Caenorhabditis elegans: one gene and its partners. The protein of the gene in region 3 purifies or fractionates together with the protein of the main gene of each other region. This does not show direct contact. Each region holds a gene or a part of one and is shown on either strand. Other genes may lie near its edges.

Region 1 (5,747 bases), on a different chromosome or scaffold from region 3:
TTGCTACCTACACCCGTTATGATCCTCACAGAAATCTTGTGATCTTTAATTTTCCGGTTGCGTAGGTTTTAAAATCAAGTTTTCAAAACATCTCAGGTCTGCGAACAACAGTTCCTATCACTTCATAATGTACTTTGTTGACAATTCGAGATTATCATTTAATATCATTCGAGCTGTTCGTTCCGCAACCTTTTCGTGCAAATCCATCTCACGATTATTTTAATCCGAAAGTATCGTAAACATCATGCATCATCGAGCAGACAAATTGAAAGCCTTGTTTATTCTCACCAGAGGCAAAAAGAATATAAAACTAGATCATAAAACGGGTCAACTTATTTTAAGATACAACCTATGACATAGATGGTGGTCTACTTAGACCTTTACAAATTTAGAAAACGATATGCTTGTTCTCATAAATTGTTCACTCTGACATCATTTTAAACCCACTGACCTCTTCGCCTACTCAATTATTTTTCAAAACGTTCGCATTTTTTCGCAACCTATGTTTTGAAAAGCTTATAAACAAGTTTGATATCCTTTCTACTTTGATTTTAAATAAGCTTTATTGATTCATATATATTCTTATTTTGATAAAATTGAAAATTAAGAGCATCCACAGCAGCTTTTAACTCCGTTCCAGTAAGCCAAGGTGTTGGCGTTGTGGCATCCACGTGGTCCTCCGTTGTGGTTACGGGACATGATCTGAAATTGAATGGATTGCCATTTGCTTGATTGAAATCTAAGGTCTTTTGTCCTAACTTGAACAAAACAACATACTTCTGAAAATGCTACGTAGTTTTCTGATTGTTAGTCCCACTATTATCAATTGTCAAATACACATGTCCACTCAATGAAATGATGTTAAAAAACTGCTCAAGTGTGACCAAAATGATTAAAAGATAAAGAATCGAGAAAAAATTGTAGTGTTTCTGTCGTCAGAATTTTCCAAAAATTGTCAGGAAGTATATGTACATTTTTTGGTGGAATACTACTTGGATGCTCTAGACATTTCTACGTCAGACCTGTTCAGGTCTGCAATAATTTCTCTATTCCAGAGGGTCGTTTCACCTACCTAGTGACTATGGCATATTAATGTTTTCCCCTGCTACCCAAAATAGAAATGTTCGACATTTAATTTTCAACCTCTTATAGTTAGTTGCGTAGTAGCATTCTTGCTCTAAATAAAAAACTCTGACCCCTTTTTCGCGGAAATTTTTGTATCTTTCCTAAAACTTCGCATCACTTTATGAAATATTTTGTTTCCTTCTGATCAATTCAAAAATCAAAATCGGGGGGCAACCTCCTCCAAACTACCAGACACTCGAAAACTTTAAATTGTATTTCATCTACACAATTTGAAAGTGCCCAGAGCAAAACAACAACTGCGTAGGCGACTCACCTGGCAAGCTCCCATTCCAAGTCCATTGCACTGAGACTTGTAGCGGTTGTAGTAGTTCTGAAATTATTTCAAAATGCTTGTATAACATGTAGATTTTAAAATTTTAGATTTCCTCTTTTGTATATGTGATTTTTGACGTATTCAATAAATTTTGTGAAGAGTGCAAACATTCATTCCGTATTAGAGTTCTTTAACCTCTTTTCAAGCCGTCATAATCTTTCTTTGCTACTTTTTATGGCGTGGTAAGCACGTTGTTAGCGGGGTGTTGATAACAATAAGTACTTATTGTCTTTGATGTCGTTAACGTCGCCACCGCTATAGCCATACATAGAAGCTAACAATGACGTTTTTTGCTGGGCTCGTTTGCTATGTGTGCATTTTTGTTTACAGGTTAATTCTGTGATTTTTGACATTATCTCGCAACTTATTTTGAGCTAGTTCCTTTTTTTCTAGTTCCGCCGTTGAAATTGCAGAAAAGTTACTCATCGCAGTATTGTCTACATGACGTTTAAATTAATTTGCCTCAATTAGCGGCAGATAGTAGAAATTTGAGTTCTCAGGTGGGCGATCCACGTAATTCGTACACTAAATTTAGTCGCGAAGTTTTTAATTTTGAGAATGATATGACGAGATTCCCAAAGGATAGAATTGCTTCCATGACTGAAATAAGCCGCAGTCTATCCGGAATTTTGCGATTTAAGGATGAAAAGTTGCACCCACTCAACACCCGTTTTCCCAAAATAAGAATTTTGATGATTTTTTTTGCATGTATCCTGTTGCTAAATCTGCACGTACCTCGACGCAAGTGGTAGCGCAGTTAAGATCATCAGCACATCTCTTCCAGGCAGCTTCAGTAGTCTCTCCAGCCTTCTTTGTTGGTTGTCCGCAGTCTTCATAGTATCCAATCTTGATCTAAAAGAAACATATTATATTTTTATTCTTTACTTTTTATAGTTGGGTCTTGGTACATTTAAAATTAAAAAAAACTGGAATACATAGAGTAGAGTTCAATTTTTGTATATCCTTGTTGTTGTTCCATACAATTTCCTTGTCTACATGGTTTTGAAAGTTTTCATTTCTAGTATGCCTTTTATCTTCTTAGCTTCAATGCAAAAGTTCCCCTATACAAAAATCAATCCCGTTTTAACATTTTCAAAGCATTTCCTGTCCATTTCCTCGGGAAAGTACGCATTTGCTCTTTTGTGGTTTTTTTGTTTTAGCAATTTAAAACATCGTTTCTTGTTATACATTTTTATCGAAAAAACTCAAAATTAAAATTCAACGCGATTTATTTTACCATACTGATTAGGAACTTCCGATTCGCTTGAGAAGAGATATGTGAAAAATATGGGGGCTGTGGTCCGATGAACCGTTTCAATTATGCTAGATTTTCATTAAAGAAATATCTGTTCAATGAGGCATAACAAACATTTCGTGCCGATTTCAAAAACCATCAATTAATGAAGACATGAAAGATGAGCTTTTGAATTTCACGTATTTTTCTGAAGTGTTATTGTTTCCTTATTTAAATGGCAAAACAATAAACAGGCAACCGAACATCTTGTATGGTTTCATGACAAAATTGAAAACGTGTTCTGATATTCTGCTATTTCCATTTCTAGATTCACATATTCCCTAGTTGATCTTGATTTACCTGATAGTATCCGCAGGAGAGGGATCCAACGTCCATGTGGCAACCGATTGGTTTGCATCCTGACTCTCTCATGCAGATGCAGTGGAGGCAGTCGGCGGAAACGTACGCAATAGCTGAAATACCGTAATCACGAAATAGTTCTATTCGCTGTCTCTGCCTTTTTTTAAAGTTTCAATTTATTTTTATTTTTCTCCTATTTCTTCGATCTATAATTGTTGTTACTTTTCCCTATTGTTTTTTACAAATGTGAAACACATATTTAGCTTTCAAAACGTGCTATTAGCTGTAAACCTATAATCAGATGTCCCGTGAGCCGAGAAATGATTTGAGCTAATATTAAGCGAACTTTCATCCGATAAAATTTTATAAACAAGCAAACAACAACAAGAGTTAACACTAAATATGGGAGTAGTTGAGTCTAGATTAATCTTTGGTTAGCCGATATTAAACTTTAAATGACGTTTCATTCTTTGTTTTTAAAAGAAGATATTACCAGCCTTATGGAAATTAAAAATTTCTCTAGTTTTGTTTTAATTGATTGAACGCATCAGTGTTCAGACTTATCGAAACATTTTCAACTGATAACTAAAAAAAAAAGAAAATGTAAACATTGAAATTAAATTAGCACCTTAAAAATCCAATTTCATGTTGGTTTTGATCTAATTCTTTTGAGCTGGTGATTTACTAGATCTTATACAATTTTGCTGTTCACTGAAACCAGTTTTAATTTTGTTATCACACTCACCGACAGAAAGGAGCAGAAGCGATTTGACAAACATATCGGCTGATGGACAAGCTGTCTGAGTTTGCTAACTTTTGGACTCTCTTTTATATCAACTTACACGTGCCTTTGATCACAATTCCTTATCTCAAAACCCGGTAATTCCTACGTAAGCACCTGTACCGAAGACTGTCAGAGGCGGAGTTACAGCTCTGTGATCGCAGAGCGAAAGAGCAATTGATGCCACTTTCAATGCCAATCAAAGTGTGGCATGGATAGTTCTAGAAAAACGTATATCCTTCCCCAGAAAACCAACACAATGCAACAAATCAGAAATCTTGTGATTATTGAAATGGACTGCAATTTTCCGTGAAAGGATACACCTCTGTTGCTAATCTTATAATCCAATCTTCGGGTCAAAAAGAACGCGGCTTCCTAATATACTTTTGATTGGTGGGGGTGGACGAGGAAATACTCTGAAATAGGATCAAGATTATATTTATTTGTGTCTTTGACCATTTTTTTTGTTATTCAAATTTCAATGAGGTAATATTTAGATTTTCGTATTTATGTGATGATGTTTTTTTCTTATAAAGTTCCATTAAAAATAATATTGAGCTAATTTTTGAACCGACGTTTTTCAGTTCCCCAGATACATCTCGAACCAGCATTCTTTTCACAAAACAAGCGTGTTTTTCTCTTTTAACACAAAGATTATTTGTAAAAACCCTAACTACGATCAGGTAGTAGGTAAATTTTTCTAATGAGTAAGCTTTAGTTTCCGGCTCAACAACTTTGTGCAAGGGTTAAGTCATGTGAAACTGAAAAAAAACTCATTCAAGCTTGATTATTTTCACTAAAATGTTAAAAGGACAATTCAAGTACAAGTAGAATAATCTAAACAAAAACCAAAACAGTAAACAATCAAACATCGAACAATTCAATTTTTATTCATTTTATAATAATGTTTTTGAATACGGACGGTTTTTGTAAATTCAATTGACCGTGAATTCCGTAACGACGGGAGCTTTAGGAAATTTCATTCAATACAAGTATATCACTCACTAATGAGTGAATAGACAGTAAATCCAAGCAGTTACGACGTTCACGCGGATTTACCTTAGTTTACACACTGAATCCTCGTTCCGCATTGCTCTCTTCAGTAGTGCAGTCTGTTTTGTCATAATTCATTCATTATGTGTGACGACGTCATTTGAGAGCCTGAATTGGAATAATCGTGACTAAAAACGCAACAAAACCACTTGGTTGTCGCATCAATTATCCAGTCTAGAACTTTGCCACAAGTTTTTACTTTTCGATCTTCATTGTTACATTTTAGACGCTTTTATGGAGAATTGTTTTCTTTTGTCATGCTCTTCCAGCAAACCAAACTAGGTGCGTATTTCCTTGTCTACAGTTTGTGCTATCAAATAATGAAACACAAACCGTTTTTGTTATAATATGATCTGTAAATAGTGCGATCGGCATGGTTTCGCCTCGTTAAGACTTTTCGGAAACGAATGAACATTATCAGTTGATATCAAAAATTGCTCCGATTCCATCGCAATTTGGTTTTGCTTCATAGACATGGGTGTGCTGGGAGATTGGAAGAAGCGGCAGAGAAAATTGAAATTCAAGACCAATTTCCTTCGTGCAAACCATTCTGATAAGTATGTACCAAGTAGTTTCTAAAAACTCTTCTTTAGTTCCGTAAAAATCATAAAATGTGTGGTAACATGTGACTTTATACATAGACTGTTACATTGGTTATAGTAGGAATGTTCTGAATTGGTCGGACGCTTCACACACTTAAATGAAAATTATCTTGTTTGATTATTCAACACAATAACAAAAAGATAACAAGGGAATGATAATATTTTTATCTAATAAAAACAAACTTACTCCCAGAAGCGCATGTTTTTATATAAAGACAGGAAGGAATCGAAAGCTGAAGACTCAGTTGAGAACAAACT
Region 2 (6,040 bases), on a different chromosome or scaffold from region 3:
GTGATGGAGCCACGCGCGCGGAGTACAATTTTGAAATCGAAAAGCGAACGCCACGCGCATCACTAATCCTAAAACCCCCACATCAAGAAAAGCACAATATGAGATCCATTCTAATTATTATTTCCTCCCGATATATAATTATTTAAGCTTCTTTTTTTCTCTATTTCTGGTATCATCTTCTCTCATTTCTCGTCTTCTACACTAATTTAATTGACTCCCCCCACAAATCTTCACCTCTTTTTTTTGTCTTCTATGTATCCCATCGATCCCTTTCCAGACCGTTTTCAACTTTTTCACACACACAAAACCCCCTAAGTTTTTTTTTCTAATTTCTTTTAATTCTCCTACCACCGTGATTTTGTAAGTTCTTCCGATCGCAAAATTAAAGATAAAAAAGTTCTCATTTATTCGGATAGCTGCCACTTCTTTTCCTCTCTTCTCCCCCTCAACCCCCCACATCTGTTTAATCCATCACAATTCTTGAAAAATGAACATCCCCCATCCCCCCATCTCTTCTTTTCCCCAAAACACCCAAAAAATCTTATTTCCCTTTTTATTCTTTTTTATTGTTTCAATTTCCAAATTCTTATAAATTGCTGGAACCTTATAACCTCTTGTGAGCTCAGTTTTTCAGACATTTATTTCAAAATTATTATCATTGTTCTCCTAACGATTAGAAGGCCTTGTTGAACAGGAACGATTGGATGATGTGCTCGGCGACGGCTGGCTTGTCGGTTGGTACCATGTGTCCGGCTCCGCGAACAGTGGCGAATGTCACCTGGGATCCCTTGTACTGTGTCACGTATCCACCGATTTGACCCTTCACAGTGAAGTGGGTCTTCTTCTTGGAGAGCTGGAAATTAAATTATGGAATTTTTACAAAACATTAAAAATCTTGGGTCTCGCAGCGATTGAGAGCTTATTGTTTAAAAATACGGTACCCGGTGTCTCGACACGACAATTTTTATGAATGCAAAACGATGTGCGCCTTTAAAGAGTAATATTTTCAAAAAAATAATTTTCGATGAAAAATCCGCAGCAACGGAAGTTTGAAACTACAGTACTCTTTAAAGGCGCACAGCTTCGCTCATTCAACAAAAATTTATCGTGTCGAGACCCGGCGCCGTATTGTTTGGAAAAACTTTGGGTCTGGATAATATATAGATATCTTTTTATTGAAAAAAGCAAAAACTGTGGTTTATGCCCAAACAAATACGGTGCCCGGTCTCGAAGCGATTGATTTTTTTTTGAATGTAAAAGATTTTGCGCCTTTCAGGAGTACTGTAGCTCGAAATTTTGAAATTTGCTTTGCTGTTTCATGATTTTTTCTCACAATTTCATGCATTTTGAAATATTTGAAATTTTTAATTCCCGTTTTTCGAACTTTTTACTAAAAATGAGACTAAATTGAGAAAAAACTACAGTACCCCTTAAAGGCGCACACTCCTTTTTCATTTAAAAAATCGATCGTGTCAAAACTAGGTACCGTAGTATTGAAAATCACGAAAAACTAAAAAACATCTGCGCCTCTAAACTTTTAAACATAAAATAGCCTACCGTAAGACCGAGCTTGTCAGTGAATCTCTGTCCCATAAGAGCATTACAGGCCAAATCGACGTCTCCGTTGTAGAGCATCATTTTCAGATTGTTGTTGTTGACGGCGTTCAGAACACGGGAAGTCATGTCTCCGTATTGTCTCTTGTAACCGTACGAGATGGCGTTACTGGAAATAATATCATTTTACTGTGGAGCATGTAGGCAAATTCGCCCACCGATTTTGAGTAAAATATTTGGAAAAGGTATATCTTATTTGCTATTGGACATACAAAAAAGTTGTCGGCAAAATGTGCAAAACTTTAAGAGCTTTAATTTGTTAGTTGACAACCTTTTTTTAACACTTGTAGATTTTGAGATATATAGGTTTTTACACAATGCAAAATTTTAGAATCTTACCTGCAAATCGACCAAGCTGGAAGAGAAGATGGAATTCCGAGTGCCTTACGCACATCCTGACGGTTCAAATAATTGGTTACTGGGCTCTCATCAAGACATGGAACGGTTCCAAGAACCTCTGGTGTGTACTTCTTATTGAATCTTCTCTCATACTCCATTCCGAAACGGAAGCTTGCGCTGGTGGAGATGCAGTCGGCGTACATGTTGTATGGGTTGAGACCTCCGTTCCAGGCGGTCTGTTGGGTAGCTTCAACGAATTCTCCGCAGGCCGAGAACTCGCTGAACGAGTGCCATGGGCAGGCATCAGTGTCGTTGTGGCAGCACGAGGTCTTCATGTGCTCCCATTTGGCCTGGAAGTGTTTTTTTATTGAAAATAGATTTAGGCGTATGTTTAGGTTTGAGCTTAAAATGAGGCTTAGGTTCAGGCTTAGAATTAGGCTTAGGCTTCCTATTTTCAAATATTCAAAACTGCCCCAACCTGATCAACAACTCCGTGATGGTACAAGAAGTTGACAAGTGAGTCAACTCCCTCGTTAGCTGAAACACATCCGTTTCCGATTGCGAGTCCCTTAATATTGATATGAGATTGTGATTGACGATCCAAAATAGTCTGAACAAGTGTTGGAACATAGATTCCACCGTACGACTCTCCAGTCACATAGAAATCGTTTCCCTTGTATTGTGGGAACTCATTGAAGAAAGCGACGAGGGCTTCCCAATTCTCACTGGCTGTCTGGTCGTCTCCGGTTGCAATATTGTTGTCTGTGGCGTAAGAGTATCCAACTCCGGCTGGAGCTTCAAGGGTGAGAATTGAGGCATTCTTGTTCCAGGAGTATGGATTGGTGCGAAGGGTGGCTCCGTCGGTGTTGACCTGGAAAAACAAAACTGTTAATAAATCTTCTTTGTAGGTGCTTCTCTACCTTTTATGTTTGCTTAAATTTCAGCAAAAGTGACATGTTTCTAGATGTCACTTGAGAAATAACTTTTCTTAAAATATTTCGATGTCGTACATTTTCAAAAATTCACGATTTAAAACAAAATTTCTAACGGCAATTTTTTTAAACACAATTTTTTATGGTAACAATATATACTTTTTTAATAGTTTGTATCTCGCTTATTTTAAAATTTATCAAACATTTGTAAACTACAAAGTGTAGATCACAATGTGATGCACATTATAAGTAGTTGGCGGTTTTTGATAAATTGAAAATGGTAGAGATAAGAGCCATCAAAGTTGACATATATAGTGTCCCTAGAAAATCGGTAGGTGGGCGAGAAAAAAAAACATGAAAACTAGAAGTAAAAACAACGGAATATTATCAGTGATAGTGGTATTGTTAGAAATAAAAAAAAACATATTTTCACAAGAATATAGGAAAATGGAGTAATTGGGTTTCAGGGCACGAAGACTCAGAGGAACTATAGAATATTGTAGCTATACATTTTTCAAATAACACGAACCTATTTTTTGGAACCTCTTTTTTACCTTACATGTTAATTTATCCACAATATTTTGTAGCTAAAATGTTAGCTTTTTGCGCAATTTTCCGCTCCCCTCAAACTCACATTCCATGGTCCCCACTCGGTGAGAAGAGCTGACAATCCGGAGCATCCTGGTCCACCGGTAAGCCAGAGAAGAACTGGATCAGTTGATGGGTTGCTTTGAGACTCGACGAACCAGTAGTGGAGCATATGATTCTTCTTGGTTCCCACATTGTAGTAGCCCGAATATTGCTTGAAGTTTGAGATTGGAGCTCCAGGGAGATTTGTGATCAGAGCGGATTCGCTGAAATGAGAAACTACACAGTTGTTTTTAGGTTTTTTGTATTTTAATTTTTTAATAGGCGGTAGGCAGGCATGAAAGCTTAGAAGCCTTCTAAAGGTTACTTACCAAACATATGCGAAGCCGAGGAGCGCCACAAGTACAAGTGTCCTGCTCATGACCATCCTTCTTGTGATAAAAATCAGAAGAAACCGTACTTTTCCTAATACGGACTATATAGTGACAGAATAGGAGGAGTCTGTCCCGCATTTTTATAACCTTATCACTTTTTCAGCTTATCATCTGATGTTTTAAGCCGATTGTGCCCATCGTCGCGTCTGAATCTCTATCTTTTGAAACTGTACTGATAAGTTGATAACATCATCAAGTTCGGATCCGGGAGAAGGCAGCCAAGAGAAAAGTGGGGATTGTTTTAGTGCAAGATAAGTGGGATGCACTTCACGTACCTCTCTTCAAACAAAAGTTGTAACCTGCGGGAGTTCATATTTTTCGAGAAATTGGTTCAGAAACATTTTTAAATTTTTTAAAAATTAGTTTTTAATTGATAATTTGGATTTTCAATTGCTAATTTATTTATTCTAACTTCTACAATGTTTCAATCTGCCAATCTGAGTAAAAGCGGCTGGCATTTTACAGGCTCAAGGGGGCTTTTATTTTTATAGGACATGTAAAACAAAATAGAATCTTTAAAATTGTAGTACAATAATTCCAACAACGTGTAATAGCGGCCGACGTCTTACGGCTTCCAACATGTTAGAAAAAACTGACAGTAAGTTTGGGAGCTCATATCTCTGTGCTCATTGATTTAATCAAAAAATTTTAACTACAAACTTATGCGTCATATTATAATCTATAGTTTTGTAGTTGACATATTTTTGATAGCACTGAAAATAACCGAGATATGTGCACCAAGAACTCTCTCTTTCTTTATCAAGGCCATGATTCAACTTGTTTTTATTTTGTTTTTAACGTTTACCGGAAATATATACACGCTGGAAAATTTAGAAAGTTTTCCTCAAAAACTATAATTGTTTTTTCTGCAGAAATTTGGAATTTTTATTGCTAAACTCTTATCAGACGACAACATCCGCCTGTAGTATGTTTTTTTTCTTCTGAAACCAACTTTCGATTTTATAGCCTCGTGTGCAATTTTCTCCAACTGACGTCAGTGCTCTTCGTGGAATTACAAAATTGTCAGCAAAAAACAGTTCATCTTGGGGCAAAGTTGAGGGGATTATCATTATTGCAGACACATTTATGATAAGAATCATTCACGAAAAACGTAGTTTTCATAATTATTGTGCACAATTTATGAAAGTCATTTGAAGGGAAGGAAGAAAGTTAGGGGAAGAGTTGGAAAAAGATTAGAATTTTAGGGTTAGGCTTAGGCTTAAGATCAAGCCTATGCTTAGTCTTAGGCTTAGGTGTAGGTTTAGGCATAGGCTAAGGCTAAGTATGGGCTCAGGTTTACGCTTAGGCCTAGTCTAAGACTTAGGACTAGGCTTAGACTAAGGCTTAGACTTAGGCTTAGGTTTAAGCTCTACTTAGGCTTAATTATAACGTAAGCTTAAGGTTGGAGGTTGGTTTTTTTTTAGTTTTTTCAAGTTTTTAATAATTTTTGTTAATGTTCAAGGAATGTTAAAGTATATTTATAAAGAAAATTAAATAAATTTCAGCTAAACAATCGCAATCGAAAGGCTGAAAAATTGTGCAATCAGAAAACAAAAAAAGTATTCTTTCTGAAATTTCAGATTTTGAATATATATTTTTTTTATAAGCTCATCTCAAAGTGTCCCCCCCCCCAGAACTTGGACTGAAACATATAAAATCTTTAGAAAAATTGAAAATCTTCACCATGATTTGTTCAAACAAAATCCCGTCTCAACTTCAAATTCCGACAAACCCAAATCCCTGAGCGGCACCCCATAAAAACATGTTTTGAAGCATCTCTCAACACTTTCTTCATTTCTTTTACTTTTCTAATTCTATACAATTTACTTTGAAACTATTTTTCGATGATGATCATCATCATCACCATTCTACCGAAAGATTGTCAAAAAGTTGGGCAAGCCTCGAAGAACCGACGAGAGAGTGGGTAATCCTGAAGAGACGCAGGTCCTTGGGAGTGAAAAACCGGTCTCTCTATGACAATGACGACGAGAGAGAGAGGATTCTGTCATACACTTTGTAATAGTCGATATGAAGAGAATGAGTACTATGACACTATGGATTATATCTTTATATCTTTCATCAATTAGCTTGTTTGTCAATCACTCATGATTTTCCTGATTTTCCCGCCACAAA
Region 3 (3,482 bases):
ACTCTGTTTCCACGTTTTTTATCAATTCATTCAAATACTAATCAATGCGAAAAAGCGTCAAAAAATCAAAAATCGCATTTGTTTCAGGAAGAAGGCAACTCTTGGGTAACAACTGAACCGTATGCAAACGATGGAGCAACTATTTCGGCGAGTTCATCAGTTGTATTCACTGATGAACAAATGTTAATTGGAAGTTCATTTGGAAGACTTCTTCATTGTGATCTTACGCATTCATATATTACATAGTCAAACTTTTAGAGCTTATTTAAAAAATAAACCGATGAATATGATCTAGAAACAGATGTGTTGTAGACATTGTATCTAGATTTATTTATAAACTTGTCGAGGCGTAACGGGGGCGCCACGCCTCCACCCCTTTTCAATAGCCTTCCAGCGTTTTAGAGGAAAGTCGATTTATGAGAATTTAGCAGCTTTCAAATTAACTAATTTCTCGTCACAATTAGTCATTCTTAGTGTCTTGATTCGAAGTCTGATAATATATTTCTCATTTATTGCCATAAAGAAATAATTGTAATACTTTAAATTTCAATATTTACTATTAAATATCACAGGAAGACAAGAACAAAGCTCATGTTGGGAATTGAGAATCTATTCGCGAACGTACTCGCGGCGAGAAACAACGGATCCAGATTCAAGAGTAGTGATAAGCTTGTCTCCTTCGAGCCAACGGGTGATAATTGATTCCTTATCAGAGTCCTTGATCTTCTTTTGAATGTGAATGAATTTTCCGTTCTCGAAGTTGACAACTGACTTGACGGTACGGCCATCTGGAGTGGTCTCATCGAATTCCTGGGATAAAAACATTAAATATAAGTCTGAAGAATGCTAGTTCAATTTCAGGGTTGAAACAATTTTTATTGGATACAATTACTTGGAATTTGGGGATAACTTGCTCAAACCAAAAGCTCAAATGGATAGGATAAAATGTTGGCAGGAATTTGCTCACAGCAAATTGTGGGCAGAAAGTCGCTAAACTTTGTCCACAATTGCCGATATCAACGAACGTGCATTTTGAAATCAGATATTGTTTCTCATGGCTTTAAAAAAATATTATTCGTGCATGAAAAAACACGAAAACTATGGGAAATACATATTGTTTATCAAAGTCTTATAACAAGAAATCAATGATCATTTTATGATTTATGGTTTGAAATGTTATCACCTGGAATTTTAAGACTTTTTGTCTGTGAATATGGAAGTAACAATTTTTATTCATAAATTTGTAGTGCGTTTCTTTATTTTTATGTAACTTTTTTGTCGCAAATTTGGAATCAGAAAACCCACATTTTTTTTGATAACATTATTTTTGTCTTTTGTAAGTAAAAAACTTTGCACTTTCTTACCTGTCCCAACTTGAAAGAAAGAGTGGTGTTCTTGAATGTGGAGTATTGGTTGGAATACCACAAATCTCCTTCGACCTTGATTTCCAAAGTTGGCTTCAAGTTGGCAGCAGCCTTACGAGTGATCAATCCAACTCCAACCTCCTTCATGTACTCCTCGAAGTTCTCTGAGTGAATGAGCTTCCAGCGTCCAACGAATTCTTGAGACATGGTGATGGTTCTGTAAATAGAAGAAGTTGGAAAAGCAGGTAAAAAGTTCAATAGATTAACGGATATGTAATAGGTCTGAATAAAACGTTAGTCTGAAATTATGGTTAAAAAATCTTATTTTAAAAATTAATTTTAGAAGATGAACTATCATATCACTTGCAAATGGAAATAAAAGAAAAGTTGCAAATCAACAAGAAAACGAATGGCAATGCCTTGGGAAATCATTCGTATTTAGGTGGTCTGATAAATGGAATGATAGGGGGCAAGAGTGGGCGGAGATTCAAAACGTTTTCTCTATTTCTGTCTCCTCTATTTTTCGTTTCGTTTTTTTTTGAAGAATGATTCATTTTTTGATTCGTTGCATCATTTTTGAAAAATAAAAATAGAAAAGAGGAAAAGTGAGGAATTTTCAGTCGAATAAAAACAAAAATATTATCAAAAAAATTCTGAAATTTCTGAGGAGGAAAATATCGTTTTTGATTAAAGTATATCTAAGTTTTAATTTTTTTTAAATTTATTTTTTTTTGAGGTAAAAAACTAGTATCTTGTACATATATAGAAGCCCATTTTCAAATTGTGAAACTTAAACAATCTTCTTTTTTTTAAAATAAAGTAAAAATGCATTTTAAACAAAAAAATTTATTGGCAATGTTGTTTCAAAATTAACATATACATACTTTAATTCTGTAATTAAATTAAATGTTGAATCTCATCATAAATTGTGAGCACAAGAGCACCTCCAGTTGCTCGGAATACATTTGAAAGACCTCCTTTGTATAATGCAGTAATTCCTTCATTCTTCACAATCTTTCTAACACAATCCAAAGTGTTTTTATAGAGAATATCCTTTCTCCCTGATTGCATCATCATTCGACGACGTACTGTATCCCATGGATATGATAAATATCCAGAACCAACTGTTCCAACTTGAGCAATTGCCCATGTCGTAAAGAAATTGAGTTTTTGCCCGTCAGTTGAGTACAATGTTTTGGCAGTATCAAACATTCCGAAATATGCTGCACGATAAATTATAATTCCTTGTACTGAAACAAAAAATCCTCTATAAAGACCAATTGGTCCATCTGATTTCACAATTTTCACAAAACAATCCGTTAGACCTTGAAACTCTCTATCCACTCCTTTTCCAACATCGGCTCCAAGACGAGTACGCACAAAATCCAGTGGGTACACGAAGCATAGAGATGTTGCACCAGCTGCTCCACCAGAAGCGAGATTTCCAGCAAAGAATTTCCAGAATTCTTTATTCTTGTCAATTCCTTCTTGAAACATCTTCTTATAAGTGTCTTTGAATGCAAAATTCAGCGCTTGCGTTGGAAAATATCGAAGCACATTTGCAAGGTTTCCTCTCCAAAATGCTGCATATCCTTGTTCTTTTGGCACTCTAGCAAGAACATCCATAATTCCTTTATATTTTTTATCGGCAGTTACTGTTTCAGAGACATCACTGACTTGAAGTAGAAGCTTTACACGTTCAATTGGAGCAACGGCAGTTTTTGAGATTGCTGCAGCAGTGCCTCCGGAGGCGAGATCAACAAGAAACTTTCGATAATCAAATCCTTCCTTTGTGGTCATTTTGTCCTTCTGGAATGTTTTTTTTCAGAGATTATATTTCCTGAATGCTGATAATAAAACTTTCTTCAAATGCGAGTAGGAAGGAGCTCACTAGACTCTTCTCAAAATTTTGGTCATGAAAGTCTAATCAATATAAAGAATAAAATTAATTTAAAAAAAAAGAAAAATCTAAAACAAAAGTGTTTCTTTAAAAATTGTTGAAACTAATGAAAAATTTTACGGAAAATAAACAAGGCCTTTTTTAACAGAGACAGAGAAAAGAAAAGGGTTTCTGGTCCTTTAAAACGTCACTCTGCGTAAACAAAAACACTATTTTTC

Evidence for each region.
Region 1: the proteins of lbp-6 (region 3) and ilys-5 fractionate together in Caenorhabditis elegans (co-fractionation; one large-scale study listed by BioGRID). This does not show direct contact.
Region 2: the proteins of lbp-6 (region 3) and ctsa-1.2 fractionate together in Caenorhabditis elegans (co-fractionation; one large-scale study listed by BioGRID). This does not show direct contact.

The regions. Positions count from the first base shown.
Region 1 is NC_003284.9:6,532,946-6,538,692, forward strand, and holds ilys-5 (lysozyme), read right to left. Parts: upstream 3,896-5,747; 5' UTR 3,833-3,895; coding exon 3,799-3,832; intron 3,167-3,798; coding exon 3,054-3,166; exon of another isoform or gene 2,312-3,053; coding exon 2,195-2,311; intron 1,457-2,194; coding exon 1,400-1,456; intron 703-1,399; coding exon 604-702; 3' UTR 545-603; downstream 1-544.
Region 2 is NC_003280.10:11,737,381-11,743,420, reverse strand, and holds ctsa-1.2 (Serine carboxypeptidase ctsa-1.2), read right to left. Parts: upstream 4,064-6,040; 5' UTR 3,901-4,063; coding exon 3,845-3,900; intron 3,740-3,844; coding exon 3,520-3,739; intron 2,825-3,519; coding exon 2,432-2,824; intron 2,304-2,431; coding exon 1,954-2,303; intron 1,724-1,953; coding exon 1,558-1,723; intron 854-1,557; coding exon 674-853; 3' UTR 545-673; downstream 1-544.
Region 3 is NC_003279.8:6,727,796-6,731,277, forward strand, and holds lbp-6 (Fatty acid-binding protein homolog 6), read right to left. Parts: upstream 1,582-3,482; 5' UTR 1,572-1,581; coding exon 1,365-1,571; intron 811-1,364; coding exon 610-810; 3' UTR 501-609; downstream 1-500. Other genes in the region: mec-6 (Mechanosensory abnormality protein 6), read left to right, coding at 88-246; ant-1.2 (ADP/ATP translocase), read right to left, coding at 2,262-3,164.